4 linked regions of the Canis lupus familiaris genome follow. The protein of the gene in region 4 interacts with the protein of the main gene of each other region in a pairwise test. Links are inferred from orthologs where the notes say so. Each region holds a gene or a part of one and is shown on either strand. Other genes may lie near its edges.

Region 1 (5,547 bases), on a different chromosome or scaffold from region 4:
CTGCTTCTCCCTCTATGTCTCTACCTCTCTTCTGTGTCTCTCATGAATATATAAAATCTTAACAACAAACAAAACAAAACCAGAACCCAGTTTTCTTGCCACCCAACCCAGTGTCCTCTCATCACACCTGTACCCTGTGATTCTACTATGAAAAGGGCATTCTCTTCTTCCCTCCTCCCTTCCAGATAGGAAATAAAGGGTCACAGTCCAGAACACTCGTCCTAGAATGCACTAGAAGGTCACTGGCTCAGCCATGGGGCTGGGATGGATGGGGGAAAGGCTCTCTCTGAAAACTCAGGGACAGAGCCTAAGAAGGATAGCTGTGCCAAATGATGAGGACTGAGCCTGTGTAGGGAGGCTATTTCTCCAGGAGAGAAAGCCCAGGAGGCAGGAGTGGGATGGTGCCTCACCTGGTGGTACCCTGTGCAGGTGACAAGCTTCTGAGACTCAGGAAGAAACTGTATGTCCTGATCCCAGATGGGAACTCGCAGGTCAAGCCAGTCATTCCGTACCTGGTCAGGGGTGGGTAGATGGGAGATAAGTTGTGGGAGGCTCATAGGCCCTTTCCTTCAGCCCTTTATCATCATCCCCTAAAGCCCACCTGGTCTCTGACTCAGTCAGTGGCCTCAGCCCCAGAACCTCCCACCCGTTACTTACATTCTTGGCCCTGAACACAGGTTCCTCAGACCCCTGTAGGTCCCACACCTTCAAAGCATTCTCTTTCCCACCCGTAGCAACCATGTGGGGGTGAGCTGGGTCTTGGCGCATCCTACACACCCCAGGACCCACACTCAGTTCCAAGAGCTGAAAAGAAGAGGAGATAGGAGGGGAGATGAGAAGCAGTTCCATAGTCTTTAATTCTTTAATCCTCTTACCCCAAAGCCCTCACTTGGTTCCTGGCCCCCACCTTCCCCAACCATCACTGGCAAGCCAGGGGAGCCTTACTGGGTCAGAGGATGCCTCCTTGTCATTCTCACGCCAGACTCGGACAATCCCAGAATCTACACATGTGATGAGGGTGCTGCAGACAGAGGAGGATAGAGTTAGGTTAAAAGAAGAAAAGTAGGGCACCCCGGCTGGCTCAGTGGTTTAGTGCTGCCTTCAGCCCAGGGCGTGATCCTGGAGACCTGGGATCAAGTCCCATGTCGGGCTCCTTGCATGGAGCCTGCTTCTCCCTCTGCCTGTGTCTCTGCCTCTCTTTCTGTATGTCTCTCATGAATAAATAAATAAAATTTTTAGAAGAAAGAAAGAAAGAAAGAAAGAAAGAAAGAAAGAAAGAAAGAAAGAAGAAAGAAAGAGAAAGAAAGAAAGAAAGAAAGAAGAAAGAAAGAAAAAGAAAGAAAGAAAGAAGAAAGAAAGAAAGAAAGAAGAAAGAAAGAGAAAGAAAGAAAAAAGAAAGAAAGAAAGAAAGAAAAGAAAGAAAGAAAGAAAGAAAGAAAGAAAGAAAGAAAGAAAGAAAGAAAAAGAAAAGTAAGTGTAAAAGTAATCTCTAGACCCCAGTGGACCCACTCCCAGATTTATTACAAGATTCTCTCCTTCCAGGTCTGTTATTTAATATCCTCAACAAGAGGAGGGCTTATCAGTTTTGTGAGTGAGGAGACTAAAGCTCTCAGAAATGATAAGACTTGCCTACACAACTATAAATGTCAGAACCAGAGCTGGAAATCAAGTCTGTGACACTCCAAAGCAGAAAGCCTTTGCTATTCCACAGCTATGTCTGGGGGCACCTGGCCCTGCTGGTCTTTCTGAATCTTAAGTGGGTCACCAGGAGTCAGGATCAGTAGCTCTGGTGAAGTGGGACTGGTCTAAATTTAGGATCTGGCCAAAATCAAACACTAGCTTCTTCCCTCGAGTTCCCTGTTTGGAGTTCCAGATGGTAAATATCAATCTTGCCCTCAAAGTATGCACCCCTCCCATGAACCCCAAGCAAGTCTCTCCCAGGAATAGGAGCTGCAGAATCTGAGCCTATGTTCTTTCTCATGTCTGCCCACCTTCTCTACCTCGGTTCAGGCTGTGTCGCTTGCCTGGACTGTGGCAACAGCCTCCCCACGGCTCTTTCCAATCCATTTTCCTTGCTCAAACGCAATACCCCCTATCACCTGCAAATCACAAGCGCAAAAATCTCAGCCTGGCTATGAAAGACATTTAATACCTACCTAGCTTGCTCATATTGTATTAAAATGCATCCTCGGGCTCAGCGGTTTAGCACCGCCTTTAGCCCAAGGGCGTGATCCTGGAGACCCGGGATCCAGTCCCAAGTCAGGCTCCCAGCATGGAGCCTGCTTCTCCCTCTGCTTGTGTCTCTGCCTGTGTGTGTCTCTCATGAATAAATAAATAAAATCTTAAGTAAGTAAGTAAGTAAGTAAGTAAGTAAGTAAATAAATAAATAAGTAAAAAATACATCCTCGGCTTCAACCCCCAAATGCTGTTTATCTTTCCCATAATTACAGTGTAGCCTGACACCAATCCTTGGCCTCTGCCCAGGTGGTAGCCTCTTTCTAAAATGCATTTACTCTATTCTCTTCCGGTCAAAATTCTGCCCATCCTTCATGGCCCAGTGCAAATGTCTCACCCACACAGACATTTCTACATCTCACTTGTCAGAACACCACCAAACCTACACAGCTTATTCATTCACAGCCTTCTCCATCTTTGGAAGAAAAAGAAAACGTTTGGCAAGTTACCTAACCGGTAGCACTTTCCTATCCTTTACTTTGAGAACTTCACCGTGTTGTTGGTGGTTGTTAGTCTCTGTTTTCAAACATACTTTAAACTATTAAATGACCTGCTCAGGGTCACCCAAAAGATTATGGAGCCAGAATGCAAAACTCTAGAGGATGCAAACTCCATGAAGGCAGGTACTTCACTGATGCATCTGGTTTACCTGCAGCCTTTGCATTTCACCCCATGCCTGTTACTCAGCAGGTATTCAATAAATGCTTGTTACAGGTAGGACACAGGTTCCTGTCACCCGCCCCAGTCCGTGGCACTATGGGTTGATTGTCATTACTCGGCCTTCCTGAGGGAGTCTCCACGCTCTTCCTACAATCTGAGCGTTCAGCGAGGGGCTCGGTCTTACCTGTCGACCTGGGCGAGGCCTCGGAACGTGCCTTCCCCACCGGGGCAGTGCTTCTGGCCCTGAAATCGACCCTCCTCGGTGCTGAAGAACCTCACTGTTCTGTCGGCGCACCCCACCAGGATCTGCGGGTAGAAGAGGGCAGGATGACGATCAAGCAGGGCTGCCGCACCCTGGCTCCCCAGCTCGGGACCGAACAGCTGCCGCTCACCTGAGTCTCACCGCCGGCGCCCCAGCACAGGGCGCTCACCGCCTCCTCGCGCCGCGGCTGTCCAGCAGCCGTGAAGTTCGCCGCCTGTTTGCGCTGAAGGTTCACCCCTGCGGGAGGCGGGCGTCAATCGCGCCGCGGTCACGAGCGGGGGCCACCCTCCACCTTCCCCACGCCGGGCCCAGCCACCCACCTTTCAGAATCCCGGTCTCGGTGCCCACCCACACATGGTTCCAGCGTGCCCCAGCAGCGGCCGCCATAACGGAGCCCGGCAGCCCGCTGCTCGCACTTCCGGCGCAGCGTCTGCGTCACCAGCGCGCGCGGAGCGGATCTGGACGGTCGCCGCCTCCGGGAGTTCTAGCAGCCGGAACCAGGGAACTTGGTGGTGACTTGGGAAAAGCTTGCGACTTTTGATCTGGGGATCGTGTTGGCGCTCCACGTTGGGTGTAGATATTTAAATAAATAAAAACTAAAGAAAGGGATCCCTGGGTGGCGCAGCGGTTTGGCGCCTGCCTTTGGCCCAGGGCGCGATCCTGGAGACCGGAGATCGAATCCCACGTCGGGCTCCCGGTGCATGGAGCCTGCTTCTCCCTCTGCCTGTGTCTCTGCCCCTCTCTCTCTCTCTCTGTGACTATCATAAATAAATAAAAATAAAAATAAAGAAAGAAAAAAAGAGAGAGAGGGAAGAGTAAGGACCCCCTGCCTGCGCCAACTGGTTTTGCTTTAGGAAGAGGGAATCTGGAGACACCTGTTCCTGATCCGGAGTAACTTGACAGTTTTGCACTTGGAGCGGAAGGCATCCTAGCCAGACCGCGTCGCCCGGGGGAGCCAGGCCTAGTCCGTCTCCCTATTCCAAAGCATCATGTACATCTTGTCTTCTGAACAAGAAAGCACACTTTAGAAATGACTCAAATCACTAATGAGGCACATGGCTTCGACCTCGAGTGTAAAGGACAAAAGGAAGAAAGATGGGGAAGATGAAACTGACGATCTTAAAGCAGAAATCTGGAAAGTGGAGGTAGGGACGTCGTGTTTTCTTTCCTCATCTTGAGGTTTGGTGATGGTGAAAATCAGTTCTGACTGACAATAAAAATCTGCAAAATTAAAACAGTATTTCTCTCCCAGGGACAAACGGCTACTTTACAACGTCGGGACAGCCCCTTCTTTGAGTGACTACTGTTTTCTTATGGAGAGATTTTTCTTCTCTGAAATTAGAGTAGCAAAAACTTGACTGTTTGAGATGATACCAGTAAGAATAAAAACATCCCACTTTTGCCTGCACAGGCCTCTACAGAGAAACAAGCCTCCGTTTGCAGCTCAGCTGCAGAGCTGCTGGTGCGAGTTCTGGGCATCACATTCCACATTTATCTTAACGTCGTATTACCAAGGAAACAATCACCCTGGCTCTACTTCACAGTCTATACCTGCTATTGGCCTCCTTGGGCACTGCCGCCCCCCCCCCCCCCAACCTGGTATTGAAATAGCACAGCATTAAACTAAACCTAAATTCGCCCTTATCTTTAAAATTCTACATTTAGGGAGCCCGGGTGGCTCAGCGGTTTAGTGCCGCCTTCAGCCCAGGGCTTGATCCTGGAGATCAGGAATTGAATTCCACGTCGGGCTCCCTGCATGGAGCCTGCTTCTCCCTCTGCCTATGTCTCTGCCTCTCTCTGTGTGTGTGTGTGTGACTATCATAAATAAATAAAAATTTTTAAAAATCTTAAAAAAAAAAAGTTCTACATTTAAATCCTTTATCTTGCAGGAGCCTCTTTTGGGTGGGTTTTCTCATTGTAAGCGCCTACCTTTGCCCAGGGCGGGATCCTGGAGTCCCAGGATCGAGTCCCAACAGAGCTCCTTGCAGTTGTTTCGCTGTTATTCCTTAAAACATCTTGAGTTCAGAAAGAGTTTCGTGGAACACTGCTTAACCTGAGAGAAACCAAGTTAAGTTGCTGGCCGGTTGAGAAACAGGCAGTCACTACTTCACCTGTTTCAGCTGTCATCAACACAGGACAGTGTTGGGATCCCTGGGTGGCGCAGCGGTTTGGCGCCTGCCTTTGGCCCAGGGTGCGATCCTGGAGACCCGGGATCGAATCCCAAGTCGGACTCCCGGTGCATGGAGCCTGCTTCTCCCTCTGCCTGTGTCTCTGCGCCTCTCTCTCTCTCTCTGTGACTATCATAAATAAATAACAATTAAAAAAAATATTTAAAAAAAAAAAACACAGGACAGTGTTTACGAAGTGGATTTTCCCAATTCGAACTGCAA
Region 2 (5,508 bases), on a different chromosome or scaffold from region 4:
GCGGTAGGTGCGGGAAGGGGCTGCCCGGTGGGAGGACTGCGGGCTGAGGGGATGATTCACGGGGCCGCTCAGAGCAACTGTGGCCCTGGGGGAGAGTCCCTTCACACTGAGGAAAGAAAGGGGTCCTTCCTCACAGCTGGAACTCACTTTCTCGGGGGGCAGGGGTTCCCCCCATTCTCAGACAGGAAGCCAGCACACTGGGAAGGCGGGCCGGGACCCACCTGGCCGAGCTGCACAGCCAGAGGCGCCGGGCACGTCCGGCCTCCGCCACCAGGCCCCCGCGGCCGCCGCGCCCCGCCCGCGCCCCTGCCCCCCGCCCCCCGCCCCGCACGGGGCCTCGGGCCGCGCGCCCTACCTCTCCTCGCTCTTCCCGGCAGACCCAGGCGGCCGACCCCGGAGCGGGGCCTCCTGGCGGCGGGGCAGGGGCGGGGAGGCGCAGGGAGCCAGGAGCCGGGAGCGGGAGCGGGAGGCGCCGGCGGGGCTCGGGTGTCGGGAGGCGGCTCCCGCGAGCAGCTGTCGGGGGCCTGTTCCGGGGAGAGGAGCCGGGGCTGCGGCGGCTCGGGCCCAGGCGCCGCCCCCCCCAGCGCCCCTCCCCCCCCCCCCCCCCCCCCCCCCCCCCCCCTCCCGGGCCGCGCCGGGCCCGCCGCTCCCACGCCGCCCCCCAGCATTCCCCGGCTCGCCCGGGCCCCCCCAGGTAGCCGCCCTGCGGCCCGCGCCGCCCAGCGCCCAGCCCCCTCCGCCTACCCGCGGCCCAACCCCCAGGCCCCAGGGTCCCCACTAAAGGCAAGAGCCGAAGCCCAGGCCCCACTTGGGGCCTCCCACACATCCAGGCCCCGCGAGAGGAGGGCCCCCTCCCTACTCCCCGTTTCTGGGCTCAGTTCCTGGAGAGGGAGGTGAAGGGGGCAGCCCCAGGGCGCAGGGAAGGAGCAGGTTCCCACAGGCCCGCTGCCAGCCCAGCAGCAGCAGTTTGGATGGAGGAAGGGAGCAGGGCTCACCTGTCCAAGCAGGTCCCCAGACCCACACTTCTCACACCACCGACCTTTGCTTCTCTCCGGCCCCCTCTGGCCTTCTGGCCTCTACACCCTGATCCAGACTGCCCCAGAGCCTGAGGGCCCCCACTCTCTCCTAGCCCCATTCTCTCTCTACTTGCACCTTCTACACTCACCGCCCCCCCTCGCTGCCGCCCCCTCACTCCCAGTTCTCTCAGGACCCTTTGGCCCAGACTCCTAGGCCCTAGGCCCCTTTGGCTCCCTGCTCAAGGCCCAGGAGTCCTCAGGCAAGCCTCCCTCCCGCCCAGCCAGCTCTGGCCCTGGTAAGGTCGAGGCTCTGACCACTGGCAGCGACACACCTGGACGAGGTGAGGAGGTTGTGGGGGACAGAGAGAGAATCGGACACAACCTAAAGGCACCGGAAACAGGAGTCCCAGAGATGGGCAAGGAGGCTGGGTGAGGTGGGCAGGATGGAGGACCTGTGGTGGGAGGTGCTGCACCCCACTGGGCACTGCCTCAGGCCACCATCCCTCCACACCCACACCTGTCAGCCCCACATCAATGTCACCGGCTCAGAAAGATCTGAGTCCACTGCAGATCTCCACCCCACCACACCTCACAACAGATAGCAACTCACACCGTACGTGCAGTCCCAGACAACAGCCCCAAGAAAGAAACACCGAGTCCCAACCAGACAAGTACACAAAAGTACTACCAGGAAGAAGTTGGCCCTCAGTGTGGGCAAGAGCTCCAAACCACCCGGGACACACCAATCCCAGCACGTCCAGCTGCTAAGGGGCTCACTAACGAACAGCCCCATGGCCACTCGGAGATTTGCCTCTCCCCACTGTCCCCTCTGACCAAACCTAGAGGTTCCCAGGGACACATACCCCTCTGAAGACGGCCGCTGGGGAATCTGGGCCCAGGAGAGGCTGAGCCAGGGGTGGAGCCAGGCCGGGGGTGGGGCCAAGGTTCCCCCAGTTACCTCACCTGGGCCAACTCCCGACCCCTCCTCCCAGGGACTGAGCTGGGAGGAACCCTGGGCGGGCAGGCCCGGCTGGGCTGCAGCCAGAGCCCCAGGGAAGCCCCTCACCCGCGGCTGGGACCTTCCACACCCCAGGCCCACGCTCCTGAGCCTGGTGGCATGGCAGGGCCAGACAAAAGGGCCCGCTGGGGAGAGAAGACGAGACCATAGAACCCTGAAACTCTTGTCCCTGATCTCCCCCAGGAGAAATTCCTAGTCGGTGATAGCCACCTCCACCCAGCCTGAAGCTGGAAGAGTGGGAGGGATGCAGGGCTGGGGCCCAGCGGAGTCAAGTGACAGCGGAAAGGGGGCTGGAGCTGGCTGGAATGCGGGGCTCGGAGCCGAGATTCCCAGGGGCCAGAGAGGGAAATCCCAGCTATCCAGGGGCCCCTAGAGCGATGCCAAAGACTGAGAGTGTCCACACAGTCTTTCATGGCCCTCGAGCCCATCCCACATCTACCGCATCGTTCCCAACTCCAGCCCCCAAAGGGCGGTCAACATCTCCTACACCATGCCGTCCCTCCCAGGTTACCCACCCCCCAAGCCAATGGCCTCTAGCCGCCCAGGAAGGAGAGGAGGGGAAACAGCTAAAAAAAAATGTGAGGAAAGGCACATAGGGGCCAGCAGACCACCCGCCGCTGCAGGGAAGGCCTGCAGGGCAGAGTGAGAAGGATGGACCACAAGGGCCCCACACACACTAGTGGCAGTCCCTCCCCAGGAGACGCAGCTGCCTCCTGGGCCAGCAGCTGGGGACGATGAGAACTGATGGGGCCAGGGGGTGGCAAGGCCACGGCCATGAGTCAGGCCTCGATACCACTAAGTACAAATGGGAAACTGAGGCCCAGAAGTGGAAGCAGGAGGGAGAGATGACCTTGTATGGGGAGAAAAATGAGGCTGCTCAGAGGCAGCAGCCCAGAGGGTGGGAGGGGATGGGAGGTGGGAGGGCTGGAACTCAGAGGGAGGGAATGGGGGTCACAAAAAGGAAAGGGGGATGGAGATGAAGGCACACACAGCAGAAGGCAGGAGGTGGAGATGTGAGGAGAAGAGGGCTGGACTGAGCAGCTGACCCAAGTGGCAGTGGGCACTCAGAAAGTAGGGCTGGAAAGTGAGGAGCCCTAAGAAGTGGCCCACAGCCCAGGGGGGACGATCAACAAGGCAAAGGAGAAAAGGGGTTGTAGTGAAACCAAGAGATGGGAGAAGAGGAGGGAGACTGAGGCACAGGGGTTGAAACGAAGGGACAGAGTGAGATGACAAGAAAGGGGCCAGGAAAGGAGGGGGCAACGGTGGGACGGACCAGAGGACAGAGGCCCCGACCTTTCCTTGGGAGGAGCCTAGCCATCGGCAGCGGCGTGGCCCCCAACTCCACTGGGCATCCTTGACGCCCCGCCCTCCTCCCACACCACCTCCCCAGGACGGGTGGGCCCAGCTCCAGCCCCCACCGCTGCCCCCTCACCTCCAGCTCGGGGTTCTCCTGAGTCCCAGTTCCCCGGCTCAGCCCTCCGGGTTCCAGGCCTGGGGTGGCCCAGGCGCCGGGCTTTGTCCGCCTCTCCCGGGGCTGAGAGCAGCTGCCCCGGCCAGCTGCAGCCGGCTTCGCCGTGACCATGGCAACCCGGCCCGCTGCCCTCCCTCAGCCCCTCCCCCAGCCGACCGAGCTGCGCGGCCCCGCGGAGAGGGAGGGAGCGGCCGGCCACTGGGAAGGAGGGGAGGGGGCAGAGGACTTCAAAACTGAACCAGGGGGAGACCCCAGACAAAGAGACCCCAGACAAAGGGAGATGACGGCGGCAGCGTCGGGCCGGCTGCACTGGCTGGCTGTGGCTGAGGCCTTACTCGGGCAGGGGATGTCCAGTCCTCCCAAGGGGGGAGAATCCAGACGTCGCCTGGCTGCAGGCCCTTGGAGGCCTCCTTCTGGGTCCCTAACAATCCACTCCCTCCACTCAGGATTTTGAAAAAGACACCCTGTTTTCAAGAACAGCCCCAGCTTCAAACATACGCTGACCTGTCACCTCTGAAATCAAATGTCCTTGTCAGACAGTGTCCGCCAGTTCTTAGTTTGGAAAATTTGATCCTCAGAGCAGAAGGTGACTGATAGGAGGGGGTGGCGCAGGGAGGGAGGTAGTGACCACACCTCTCACAGAGGGGAGAGAAAGCAGAGTACCAAGTGGGGAGAGGGGAAAGCAAGGCTTGGCCCCTCCGAGGTGAGGGCTGAGCTTGCCACTCACCATCTAGCTTCTTGTGCTGCATCCTACTGCATCAGTTCCCTCACCAGTAGACTGACATAACACCTGTCCCTGGAGTCTGTTGTGATAATGTGAGATGGCATCTGTAAAGCACAGGCAGGCCCTTTCATGGAAGCAACCAGCCACACTCCACTAACACGATCTCCCTCTGTGGCTCCCTCATGTGTCACTCAGGTCTCTGAGTTCCACCTCCCAGTTGATTCCATAGTTCCTAAGGGTTTGTGCGGGCAGGGCTCTGAAAGCAAGCACTGTAAGACATACATTGAGGAACACAACCCACTCCGTGCCACCCTCCCCAGGCATTTACAGTCAAGAGGGGGAGCCAGACATGTATATGCATATATATATACGTATATGTCTATAATCGCAGAAGGTAGCATCACCTGCGCTGGAGCTGGAAGGGGCTAGGGAAACCCAGGGGAGGAGCAGGCCAGTCCTGAGTCAAGGTCAAGGAAGACTTCATGGAAGAGTCGGAGTTTGGACTAGGCCTTAAGTGAGATGGAGATTTGCAGAGATGAGGCAGGGCCGCTCCTGGCTGAGGAAGGGAGGCATGAACATGGTTATGTGAAAATGCAGCTGTGACAGGAAGTCAGGGTCTGCCCAAGTGAGTAAACCCAGAGAGGCAGCGTGAGGTGAGGTGAGGTGAGGTGAGGTGATCTCATTAGTAGTTTGCCTCATTCTGTTGGTGAGAAGGGCCTTGGGATATTGAGCAGGGAAACGGCATGAATAGATTTTTAAAGGTGGTTCCTGGTGGCAGTGTGTTGGCAGCATCTGAGAGCAACAGCTGAGGGGTGCGGGTGGGAGGGCGTGTTGACTGTTGATCTCAACTTTATTCTGTCCACATCTAGCCAGTGTTTGACCTTCCACCCCCAGCCAGGAATGCCATGAGGAAATGCTGAGATCCTGTAGGGAAGTGGTGCACAGGCTAGATATTTTCCTGGTATTTACACCTATCATTTGGCCCTCTCCACTGGAGCCTTTGAGGTGGGTGGCACAGAGCTCTTCATAAAAGGAGAACCAGGGCTGGAGAGGTTCTGAGGCAAGTTACTGCTTCCTGCCCAGGACCTCTCCTAAATTCCTCCGCCTGTCTTCCAAAAGGGGGAGGGTAGAAGGAGGGGATCCAGAACAGCCCCTGTGAGGCCAGACTAGACACTCATCTCAGCCTCTGAGTCCTGCTCTCCCTGGAAACTTCACCTTTCAGCCAACTGCGGAGGCTTACGTTTCCTGCGATGAACAGGGAGGCGCATGCTTCACAAGT
Region 3 (5,480 bases), on a different chromosome or scaffold from region 4:
CACCTGGGAGACCGCTCCATCTGAGTCAGAAAACCTTGGCCTGAGCAGCGGAGTTCCTGAGCTAGGAGGCCCAGCTCTGCACCTGCTTGGCTGTGGGGTCTCTAAGGCTCGGAACCCCAACCTATGAAGCACAAGTACGTGGTTTTGCCTCCCACTGCTGGGGTGGGGCTCAAGTTGAAGGAATAATAACAGCAATGGAACTAGCTGGTGTTTATTGAGAGGCAGTGTAGCATCGCAAGGAAGAGCCGGGACCCGATTGCTCAGGCTCATAACCCAGTTCCCTGCTGAGCCACTTGAATCCAGTGACTTCCCCTCTGTGTGCCTCGGTGTACTCATCTGTAAAATGGGGATAAGGATAGCACCTACTTCATGGGGTTGTTGGAAGTATTCAGAGATAACACAGTATAACATGTTTAGAATAGTTCCTGTCAGAGTAAACCCTGCGTAAATATTAGCAGCCATTATTATTATTATTATTATTATTATTATTATTATTATTATTAACATATCATTTTCTCTGGCTCTCTCTCAGCCACCAGCAGGTCAGGCGACCAGGAGATCTTCCCGTACGCACGCACATGTGCACACACGCACACACACAAAATGGTAAACTGTTTATGCCGCTCTCCAAATGCAGGGGGTCACTTCATGTTGTCAGACTCTCTGTACCCTTTTCCGATGTCATCACAAGTCTTCCCTGTCCCAGTGACCTTACCCATCCAGAGAGGGGATGCCTCCAGGCCTGAAACTCCCACTACCACCCACGCCCTGGCTCTCCCACCAGCCCTGACCCAACCATGCTTGTGACCTTGTTGTCACTGTCCCCCCTAAGATTCCCCCCACCCCCGCCCCTTGGACACTGCCATACCCTGCCCTGAAATCCATACCAGGCAGGGCTCCAGGCCTCCAGCTGGCTCAGAACAGGCCCAATCACTCCACATCTCTCTCCCCAGCCTGAAGGACCCCACTCACCTCTCTGCGGGGAGTCAGGGCCTGGGCCGGTACCTGCAAAGGAATAAAATGACCCCATTAGCATCCTTCGGGCTCCTCTCTGAAGACCTGCCTCAGAGACCATCTCAGCCACGGAAGTCCCTGGTGTGATCATTCTCTCCACCCTCCTGCTGCAGGCTCTGTATAGTCTCAGACAGACTCGGCGAGTCATTTCTGGAATCCAGGGAGTCTGGGCCTCAGGACTGTTCACCCTCCAAACCTGGGAGTCCAGGACTTTAACCCTTTGTCCTCTGTGGGCTCGCCAGGCCAGACTCCAGCCCCCTCCTCCCTCAAGACTGTGGTGTCTGCAACCCCAGACTCTTCCTTCTTCAAACTCCAGAGTCCAACTCTTGCTTTCTTCCTTTCTCAAGGCTCAGGAATCTGGCCTCCCAGCTGCTCCTCCTCCAGATCCAGGATTACAGGCGCCTAGCCTCTTCCTTCCAGGGTTCACATCCCAGTCCCCCAACTTTAAAGAGCTGAGTGATATGGAGGATAGGAAAGAACCAGAGGTCCCCATCCTCACCATTACACCACTGTCATACCAACACATGTGGACATGCCAAAACCCACATGGACCCACAATACAATTCTCTCCATCTGGATTTCCATGGACACACCAGCATGGTGTGTGCGCCCACCCTCCGTGGGCCCTTGGCCTGGTGTGTGGACACACTTGTGTCCTTGGACTCCCGGATGGACCCCAGCATACCACAGGTCACACCACACAGGCCCCAATCTCACTGGGCCAAGAACTGAGGTAAGCCTTGTACCAGAGAGACAGACACATGGGTGCATATTGCCCTGCACATATGTTTGAACCTATACAACCCCAATCCCCAGAGACCAACACTGACACATAAATGGACTCACAACAGAGACACACACCCTCAAGGTGGACACACCTGCGGCCACAACCACATATGTACAACACTGACTTTCCTTTGCACATTCATACATACTCATGTACACATACAACAGAGGAAGCCATGTGCCCCCTTGCAGACAACCAGATACGTGCACTTATAACAGATATATGCTTGCACACTAGCCAACACACAGGGGCACACGCATATAACATATACTCACTTGCACATACAAGTGATACACAGGTGCATGCTCTTAAATGCCCAAACACACTCATACACACTCATACAACTTCACATATCCCCATGATGCATGGTCACAAAACTGATACATTCCCATACCAACAGATGCACAAACATACACGCTAGCTGATACACACCTCACATACATACACAGAACTACAAGCATACACAGACACACAAAACTGATACACACTCAAGCACACAGCCACAGAAAGATGCACCTTGCACAGACATTCTGGGATGTTCACTCATTCCAGACACATGCTCACACAACAGCCCTGTGAGAGATTTACACACTTCCAAAATGCACATAAAATACTGAACCACAGTAGCATAGGCAACAGATAGGCATAGATTCACACTCACACACAGTCATGAACACACATCCCTCCTAGCTCTGAGGTACCCCCACCCCACCTACTTCCCAGGCCAAAGAAATCCTAACATCCTTCCCTCCCAGCACATCCCACCCCCCCCCAACGGAGGCACAAGCCAGGCCTGAGGTCAGAGTTCAGCAGGTGGAGTCTCAAGGGTTGGGGGGCTGAGTCCTAGAGCCCGGCTACAAGGCTGTCCTCCCACTGGCAGCCCAAAGGTCCCCCGGCCTGGCCATCTGTATGCGGGCAACTCCGGCCCCATCTGCCAGAGATCTGGTAGGGTGGGGGGATTGGGGTGGGGTGGGTGGGGAAGGGCCGGGTCGGTGCCCCTCCCCTAGGCCCATCTGTCCATCCCTCGGCCTCTCATCCCTCCATCTGTCCACCTACCGGCCGCCCATCCCCCCCCAGTCACCGGGAAGGGGAAGACATGGCCGTCTCCCCCAAGGACCGCCGAGGACCCCCCAGCTGACATGGACCCAGGGAGCGGCAAACTCCCCTCCCCCAAACCCACACAGAGGCCTGGACCCACAAGGAATGAGCCCCAGCCCCGCCGGAACCTGACATGGACGCACAGACACACACCCTCGGAGACATACAACCCGCAGACACACACACACAACACACACACACACACACACACACCACAAATGGACACCCGGACGGGCACACCCGGCTACACAAACCCTAGGATGGACATCCAACCTGGACACAAACACCCAACGCAGCCAGCCCCGCGCACACTCGCTGGAGGGGGGGCGGGGGGACCCACACCTGGGCACACAACCCACGCACACACACCTGCACACAGCCCCTCCGATGGGCGCGCGACAGCCCCCCAGACACACAGCCGGGGGGACACACGCGCGCGGCCGGACACAGCACCTCGGCTCGACACCCAGCACACACCCGATGGCCACACAAGCAGGGCGCCGCACACGCCGGCGCCGGGCACACACAGGGCCGCGCGAGCGCACGCCGGGCCCGCCGCAGCGCCGCGGACACACACTCGCACGCTCGCACGCTCACACCCGCGCTGCCACCGGCGCCCCCGCCCGCCGCCTCCCGGGCCGCTGCGGGCCGCGCTCACCCAGCCCGGGGGGGCCCCGGGCCCGGCCCCGCCGCCGCCGCCTCGCTCCGCGCCATGGTGGGGGGAGGGCCGGGGGAGGGGGCGCGGTGCCGCGGGGCCGCCTCCCTCCCGCCTCCCGCCCTCCCTCCCGAGCCGCCGCCGAGCTCCGCCCTCCGCGCCGCCCGCCGCCAGGGCCCCGCCGCCGCCGCCGCCGCAAGGGGGGAGGGGGCGCCGGCCGGAGGGGGCGGGCGGGACGGCCGCGGCGCCCGGACCCCCACCCGGGGCGCGCCGCAGACCCCTCGCCGCTGCCGAGCCGCCGGCCCGCCCCCGGCCCCTCCCCCCGCCCCACCCCCAGCCCCGCCGGCTTCCCCAGAGACCCCCAGGCCACGCCCCAACTGGCGTGGGGACTCGGATCTCCCAGCGGAGACCTGGGATCAGGTCCCCAAAGCCAGGAGAACCTGACCCCATACCTTACCTCCTCTGAGGACCCAAACCATGGTCTGCAGCCACGCAGGACCACAAAGCATGTCCTGCTCTCCTTGGTGACCTCAGACTCTGCCCCATACTCCAGCGGGGACCCCAGACCATATCCCAGCACCCAAGGGGAATCCAGAGCACCCCCAGCAGGGACCCTACAGCATACCATCACATCCATTAGACCCCAGACCATGCCCCAACTTCCAGAGGAGACCCAAACCATAAGTCAACATCCCAAGATCATGTCTTACTCCCTTTGGGGACCCAAACCATATCCTATGGCTCCTTGGGGACCCCCAGCCATGCCCTTCCACTCTCTAGGACCACTAACCATTCCCTGACCCTCAACAGGGACTCCAGACCATGTCTAATTTCTAGAGGACCCCAAAATGTCTTATTCCCCCTAAGTTACCTCATTACCCCCATTAGACCCCAGACCATCCTCCCCTCTAAGGCAAGGCTTAGTTTCCAGAACCCCTGATTTGCCCCAGATTCTTTCTCTGCCTCCTTCCTGTTCCTACTCTTTCTTTTGGACCCTGCAGACCCTTCCTCCTCCCTGTAACTTCCTTGCAACCCAGGATTCCTTGCTCCTTTTTTGGTTAGACTCCTTTCTTGCCTAAATCCTACCCACTAGCTGACCCCACCAGCCCTTCCCCACTCTCCACCTCTTTCTGAGATACTCATCAGGCCCCCAAACCCAACAAGGCCTCCCCTCCAAATCTGCCTTATTGCAGTCCCCCAGCTCCCTGGCAGCTCAAACTCTTCCCATTTTGGATCCCACCATATCAACGTCCTCTGCCAAACCCCTTCCCTAAACTCTTCCTAGTTATGTCACTGCTCCAAGCCAGCCCTGTCCCTCAGATCAACGGCACCTCTGCAGAACCTCCCTTTTAGTAAGTCTTGACCCCCACTCCCCATTAGATGCCCCCTGGGGACATTCACATCCCCCCTCTCTCAATCTCCAGATTCCAACAACTCCACTCCCATCACCACCTCCACCCAGGCACCATCTCCATCTCCCAACCTGGTTCCTGGTGCTCCCTGATGGGGTGTGGAGGTCCTGGGCTGGGAGGATAGAGAGAGAATCATAACAACAGCAAAAGCGGACACGCATCCAGCGTTACTGTGTGCCAGGAATGGTTCTAAGGGCCTGACCCACGATTCCATTTACTCCTTCCAGGAACCAGATAAGGAGGTCCCATCACATCCCTATTTTACAGATGAGGAGGTTAAGTAATTTGCCTCAGGTGACATAGGTAACAAGTGGCAGAGCAGGGTAGAGGTGAAGGGAAAAGAAGGAAAGGGTGGGCCTGGGATGGACAGGAGTGGAAAAAAGGAGATCCGCAAATATGGGGAAGCAAAGTGGCTGAACCCAAACAGGGAGGGCCCCACTCACCTCTTTTTTTTTTTAATAAGATTTTATTTATTTATTCATGAGAGAGACAGAGACAGAGACATAGGCAGAGG
Region 4 (5,696 bases):
TGGGGCTCCAGGGGGTGTGATGAGACCGTCCCAACAGTTACTTAGCATTTATTGGTTAAGCCAAGACTCTAATTAGGTCTCCAGACGCAGGTCCAGCTCTCTCTCCTTGCTGCTTCTTAATGAGAACTCTTGGACCTTCCACTATGGATGCATACTACCATCCAAGGTTCTAAGTGAATGATGTATTAAGGTTTATACTGGCAAAAAAACAAAAAAAGAGAGGGGCTATTTATCACACGCATTTATTTTATTTTTTTTTCAATTTTTATTTATTTATGATAGTCACACAGAGAGAGAGAGAGGCAGAGACACAGGCAGAGGGAGAAGCAGGCTCCATGCACCGGGAGCCCGACGTGGGATTCGATCCCCGGTCTCCAGGATCGCGCCCTGGGCCAAAGGCAGGCACCAAACCGCTGCGCCACCCAGGGATCACACGCATTTAGTAAGTATTGAATAATCAGAACGTGAAAACTGATGGAAATACTATGCAAGGTTCTTGTAGAGACAGAGTATATGCATGAGAAAAACAGCATTCTTACATTTCACAAACACATCTTGAAGTATTTATTACTGAAATCCAAATGTTTTTTTTTTTTTTTTCCTTTCCATAATGAACTACATGTCTGTTCTCTTTAGTAGTAACTGCAGATTTTACCCTACATGTCAACTACTGGCTGCTCAGGGCACGAAGTTAAACTAGCTCCAATTTCCTTTTGGCAGTTCTAATGCAAAGCTCGGAGAGTATCTGTAGCCTAATCAATACCTTGCTGTGAGTCTTACTTTGTACTTAAATGCTTGATGGGGAAACCATCTGAATATTCCACTGTACGGCTCTGATACCTGAAATCAAGGAGTGAATTGTGTTGAGGTCATCGACTGTGGACCTTCTCCGTTTGTCCTTCCCACTCAAAAACACTTAAAGCCGGCCTTCGCACAGATGATTTTTGAACAATCACCAAATTATGCAAGTAAACCCTTCACGTCTTCTTCTCCTCCCTCCCCCACTTTGCAAGTTATTAAGTGTTCTGGTAAATTCTCAGCCAAGAATGACTCATGAGGAAACCCTGCATCCTTGCACTCCCAGGACGAGGATGGCTCTGGCGCATCACAGTTTCCACGTCTTGGTGTTTCCCTCCGTCTCCTCGTGAGGAGAGCTGGGACTTCTCTGTCCTGGAAGGAGAAGCAACCAAGGATTTCGGAGAAAAAGCTTTGCAACCCCACGGGAAGACCCAATCACGCAGGTTGCGGGGAGCAAGGCTGCACACCCTCTTAAAACACGGCCGTCGGATAAAGTCCCTTTCTCCGGTTCCTTCCCTGCTTACCGTTCAGTCCCCGCAGGGTTCCGGGTTGCCCCCCCCCACCCCACCCCCCGGCCGCGCGGGGGTCGCTGCCCCCGCCCCTGCCCCACCCCCGCCCCCGTCCCCCGCGCCCCCGCCCCGGCCCCCCCGCCCCTGCCCCACTCCCCTGCCCCACCCCCGCCCCCGTCCCCCGCGCCCCCGCCCCGGCCCCCCCTGCCCCTGCTCCTTCCCCCACCTGACCCTGACCCTGCCCCACTCCCCTGCCCCCACCCCGGCCCCCCCGCCCCTGCCCCTGCCCTCCCGCCCCCTCCCCTGACCCTGTCCCCCCTGCCCTGCCCCCCCGCCCCTGCCCCCCGCCCCCTCCCCCTGCCCCCCTCCGCCCCTACCCCCCTCGCTCCCGCCCCCGCCCCCGCCCCGCCCCTCCCTTTCATCTTTTCCTCCCCTCCCAACTCAACGGAGTCGCACAGCGGAAGAGGGGAGGGTCTCCCCGCGGCCTGTTTGCAAGAAATGAGGCGTGGGAAGAGGGCGCGCTCTCCAAAAAACAAGGGCGGGGGGTTGGAAAACATCTTAACTCAAAATAAAGCACTTGCACCCCGGTCCGCTCCCAGCAGCCTCTCCCCGCCGGAGCCTGCACCCCTCCAGGGCCGGGAGCGCCCCCTCCCGTCGTCCCGTCGTCCCGTCGTCCCGTGGCCGGGGCGCGGCTGGCGGCGAGGCGTCCCGGTCCGATCCCACACGCAACCCCGCGAGCCGCCGCGAGGGCCCGAGCGCGCACGGAGCCGGAGCCGGAGCCGGAGCCGGAGCCGGAGCCCGAGCCCCGGACGTCAGCCCACCTCGCTTCGAGAGCCTTCGGCGGCGCCCGTGACCGCCGCGGGCCGGGCCGCCCGCCCCCGCGCCCGGGTGCAGCCGACCAATCGGTGCCCTCGGGGGGCGGGCCCGGCGGCGGAGGCCCCGCCCCCTCCCCGCCGCCGCCCATAAAGGCGGCGCCCGCGCCCCGCCGCGCAGAGCTGCGGCCCCGGCAGGCGGTGGACGATGCAAAGTGCCATGTTCCTGGCCGTCCAGCACGACTGCGGATCCATGGACAAGAGCTCGAGCAACAGCCCCAAGCACGAGGAGAAGCGGGAAAAGATGAAGCGGACCCTGTGAGTACGGCCCTCGGGCGCCCGCCCCGCGCTGCGCACCTGGCGCTCCGGGTTTGCTGCGAACGTGATGACGTTAGGAAACCCTGCGACCCGCGCCTCTGCAGGGAAAAGCAAAAATGTGGAAGAGGGCAATTAGCTAAGTAAGGTTCAATCTGTGTGCGTGAGCCAAGGACTCTCGGGTAGTTTAGGACTGAGAGCATGTTAGATAGGGAGGCGGTGGTGATGAGGAGGATGAGGAGGCTAAGACCTCGCAGGTTGGCTTTGTGGCCCCTGCGTCTAAGGTAGCAGCCGAGGATCCTGGGGCCGAAGCACATCCCCAGCACTGGTGCCTTGCATTATAAGTTCTGATCAGCTTGCACAGCTTCCGGATTGGAATATTTTGGCTGGTTCTGAACATACTCGTTTTAAAATCGCTTTTTTTTTTTTTGACTGAATTGCTTAATTCACCCACTAAAGATTGTGCAGCAAATCATCGTTATGCATCATCTGCTTAAAATGAGTGTTGTAGTTGGGCTGGGGCAGGGGAACTCAGTCTCTCTCTCTCTCTCTCTCTCTCTCTCTCTCGGACACACATACACCCCCTGCCTCATGGCTTCTGGAGTGGTCCAGAGCCTCTTGCTCTAAGGGTAGGAGGGAAATGAACACCCACTGGCTCCAAGCAGTTCCAGTGTTAGGTTTCTTCAAGTGTGAAATGTCTCAGAATTGTAATCAAGGCTGCAGAAAAACTGCGGTCTTTTGTGGGTCAGAAATTGCATCTGTCTTTTTGAAATATGCCATCTAAATTCATTTAAATGTCCTAGGTAGACTTACCCTTGGTTATGAGAGTAGTACTTCTGCTCAGATGAAGGGATGAAACTAATTGCGTTAAGCACGTAGGTGCTAGGTTTAAATGTAAAATGAGTAAGACTGACTTGAAGATTCTTGTTGCTACTGGGTGGCTTTATTTGGTAAAAATGCCTTCAGCTGCCACAGCAATTTCAAACGTTGTCACTTAGTGAATATCTTTTTTTTTTTTCTTTTTAAGATTAAAAGATTGGAAGACCCGTTTGAGCTACTTCTTACAAAATTCGTCGTCTCCTGGGAAGCCCAAAAATGGCAAGAAAAGCAAACAGCAAACCTTCATCAAGTAAGTTGAAAAATCTTGTATTTGCGAACATGAATAGCTAGCTGCTGAGCTGAAAAGAGGAATTCTGATGTGCACGAGCTAATGAGCAGACCTTCTTTTGCAGGCCTTCTCCTGAGGAAGCACAGCTGTGGTCAGAAGCGTTTGATGAGCTGCTAGCCAGTAAATGTAAGTTAACCTTTTGAATTTGATCCATTTCACAAGATATCACAAATATCACAAGAGTCCACAAAGGTGTTCACAACAGAAAAGCAGATTGCTCAAGGGGAATTCAAATTTGCAATCACTAAAGATCTAATGCCTATTTTTCTCCTTTATTTCCTGTTTAACCATAGAAATACATGGTTTCTTCACTGTAGATAGGGAAGGAAAAGTAGCCCAAATTGTAGGGGCAGTTGCTCTTCCTTAAGGTTGAATTGAATCAGCTTTTTCCATTGCATACAAGGTTTCCAGGAGGTTTGGAGCCCGGAGAATTTAGGTTCCCCTCTAAATATTTGCATTAAAAGCAAAGTTAAGTATATTTTGTAGCAGTGTGCCAGCTTATGCATTTTGCCTATTAGCATCTTAGTCTTTAAAAGGCTAAATTCTGAGGGTTACAAGTTTGAGTGAAATATAGAAAATTGCCATCATTTAGAAATAATAAAATATAGGGATGGGAGAATGGTAGTTCTGGAAAAATTTTAAGGCATTAATTGGTCACCCAATTTACATTCTGCATGTTTTTTCCCCCCTTTCTTCCTCCCCAGATGGTCTTGCTGCATTCAGGGCTTTTTTAAAATCTGAGTTTTGTGAAGAAAATATTGAGTTCTGGCTGGCCTGCGAAGACTTCAAAAAAACCAAGTCACCCCAAAAGCTGTCCTCCAAAGCAAGGAAAATATATACTGATTTCATAGAAAAAGAAGCACCTAAAGAGGTAAGGGGGGCAAAAAAAGAACTTCAATTCAGCATATTTTGAATATTCTTAGCACCAAAATGAAACAAAAAGACATTAAATTAAAGGGGGGAGGGACAAGATTGTTTCAAGAAACTAATTCTAGTTTTTAATTCGCTTAATTTCATTTCTTCAATGACTTGGCTAATGAAGCTCATCACACATTATAGTTTTTGCTGCTTGTTTTCAACGATTAAATAGGTATCAGTCCCTAGCTTTGAATATGGAATAAACCCCTTTTTTTTTATAATTTCAGATAAACATAGACTTTCAAACCAAAACTCTGATTGCCCAAAACATACAAGAAGCTACAAGTGGCTGCTTTACAACCGCCCAGAAAAGGGTCTACAGCTTGATGGAGAACAACTCTTATCCCCGTTTCTTGGAGTCAGAATTCTATCAGGACTTGTGTAAAAAGCCACAGATCGCCACAGAGCCCCATGCTACATGAGACGAAAAGGGGAGCCCAAGAGTGGAGGACATTTCATTTTGTTCCTAAGGGGAAAGGCTGCGACCTTCCAAAAAGACTGACCTTGAATTTAGCCTGGGTGTTCAGGAAACATCACTCAGAACTATTGATTCAGAGTTAGTGAATCAGGAAGCTGGTGACTGTGTAGGAGAAGCTTGTGTTGGGACGGCTCCCATAGCTCTGTCTAGAACCCAGGGAGAAGGTGGTCCAAATGTGGTGTGTCTCACTCACACTGGAAAGGCAGGAATGGGAGACCCAAAGGTCTGATGTGACACTGTTGGTCCAAACACATTTAAAATCAATAGGTCTGGGATTATGTGGCCTTAGCTAGCTGGCTGTATATCTTTCCCTAATTCAGTCCATTACCACATAGTGGTTTTAGTTTTAGTTATTTAGAATAAGTAATATTAAAATGTTTACTGTGTGCAAGGGTGTTGAAGTTCATACGACTACAGATCATCAGTACTGTTGTCTCCTGTAACACTAAAACTGAAATGGTCTGTTTGAATTGTTAAGTGTTAGAACAGAACGAGTGCTGTTGTGTAGGAAACTACATTGTTCATGATGAGTGCCAAAAACTGTCCTGAAGGCAGCTAAACTTTGACGTGGTCTTTGAATACTTTTAATAAATTTATTTTGATAAATAATGTCATTGACTATTCGGTTCAGACATGGGGGAGGGGGTTGTGGGTTGTGAGGGAGGGGAGGAGTGCTGTTAATATGGCAGCTACAAGAG

Evidence for each region. The genes of interacting proteins can lie anywhere in the genome.
Region 1: the proteins of RGS2 (region 4) and WDR74 interact in a two-hybrid assay, tested with the Homo sapiens proteins (2 studies listed by BioGRID and IntAct). The link is inferred for Canis lupus familiaris from reciprocal best matches to the Homo sapiens genes RGS2 and WDR74.
Region 2: the proteins of RGS2 (region 4) and DDR1 interact in a two-hybrid assay, tested with the Homo sapiens proteins (2 studies listed by BioGRID and IntAct). The link is inferred for Canis lupus familiaris from reciprocal best matches to the Homo sapiens genes RGS2 and DDR1.
Region 3: the proteins of RGS2 (region 4) and LRFN1 interact in a two-hybrid assay, tested with the Homo sapiens proteins (2 studies listed by BioGRID and IntAct). The link is inferred for Canis lupus familiaris from reciprocal best matches to the Homo sapiens genes RGS2 and LRFN1.

The regions. Positions count from the first base shown.
Region 1 is NC_049239.1:54,372,864-54,378,410, reverse strand, and holds the start of WDR74 (WD repeat-containing protein 74), read right to left. Parts: upstream 3,619-5,547; 5' UTR 3,545-3,618; coding exon 3,478-3,544; intron 3,395-3,477; coding exon 3,288-3,394; intron 3,202-3,287; coding exon 3,080-3,201; intron 1,022-3,079; coding exon 946-1,021; intron 805-945; coding exon 658-804; intron 513-657; coding exon 411-512; intron 1-410. UniProt on the Homo sapiens protein: Regulatory protein of the MTREX-exosome complex involved in the synthesis of the 60S ribosomal subunit. Participates in an early cleavage of the pre-rRNA processing pathway in cooperation with NVL.
Region 2 is NC_049233.1:792,162-797,669, reverse strand, and holds the start of DDR1 (epithelial discoidin domain-containing receptor 1), read right to left. Parts: upstream 3,619-5,508; 5' UTR 3,617-3,618; coding exon 3,467-3,616; intron 2,024-3,466; exon of another isoform or gene 1,880-2,023; intron 1,862-1,879; exon of another isoform or gene 1,810-1,861; coding exon of another isoform or gene 1,705-1,809; intron 521-1,704; exon of another isoform or gene 356-520; intron 1-355. UniProt on the Homo sapiens protein: Tyrosine kinase that functions as a cell surface receptor for fibrillar collagen and regulates cell attachment to the extracellular matrix, remodeling of the extracellular matrix, cell migration, differentiation, survival and cell proliferation.
Region 3 is NC_049222.1:114,669,916-114,675,395, reverse strand, and holds the start of LRFN1 (leucine-rich repeat and fibronectin type III domain-containing protein 1), read right to left. Parts: upstream 3,619-5,480; 5' UTR 3,558-3,618; intron 3,393-3,557; exon of another isoform or gene 3,269-3,392; intron 1,006-3,268; 5' UTR 888-1,005; intron 1-887. UniProt on the Homo sapiens protein: Promotes neurite outgrowth in hippocampal neurons. Involved in the regulation and maintenance of excitatory synapses. Induces the clustering of excitatory postsynaptic proteins, including DLG4, DLGAP1, GRIA1 and GRIN1.
Region 4 is NC_049259.1:6,817,734-6,823,429, reverse strand, and holds RGS2 (regulator of G-protein signaling 2), read left to right. Parts: upstream 1-2,278; 5' UTR 2,279-2,327; coding exon 2,328-2,437; intron 2,438-3,461; coding exon 3,462-3,563; intron 3,564-3,666; coding exon 3,667-3,728; intron 3,729-4,306; coding exon 4,307-4,473; intron 4,474-4,747; coding exon 4,748-4,942; 3' UTR 4,943-5,607; downstream 5,608-5,696. Other genes in the region: protein SPT2 homolog, read right to left, coding at 1,017-1,170, 1,871-2,271. UniProt on the Homo sapiens protein: Regulates G protein-coupled receptor signaling cascades. Inhibits signal transduction by increasing the GTPase activity of G protein alpha subunits, thereby driving them into their inactive GDP-bound form.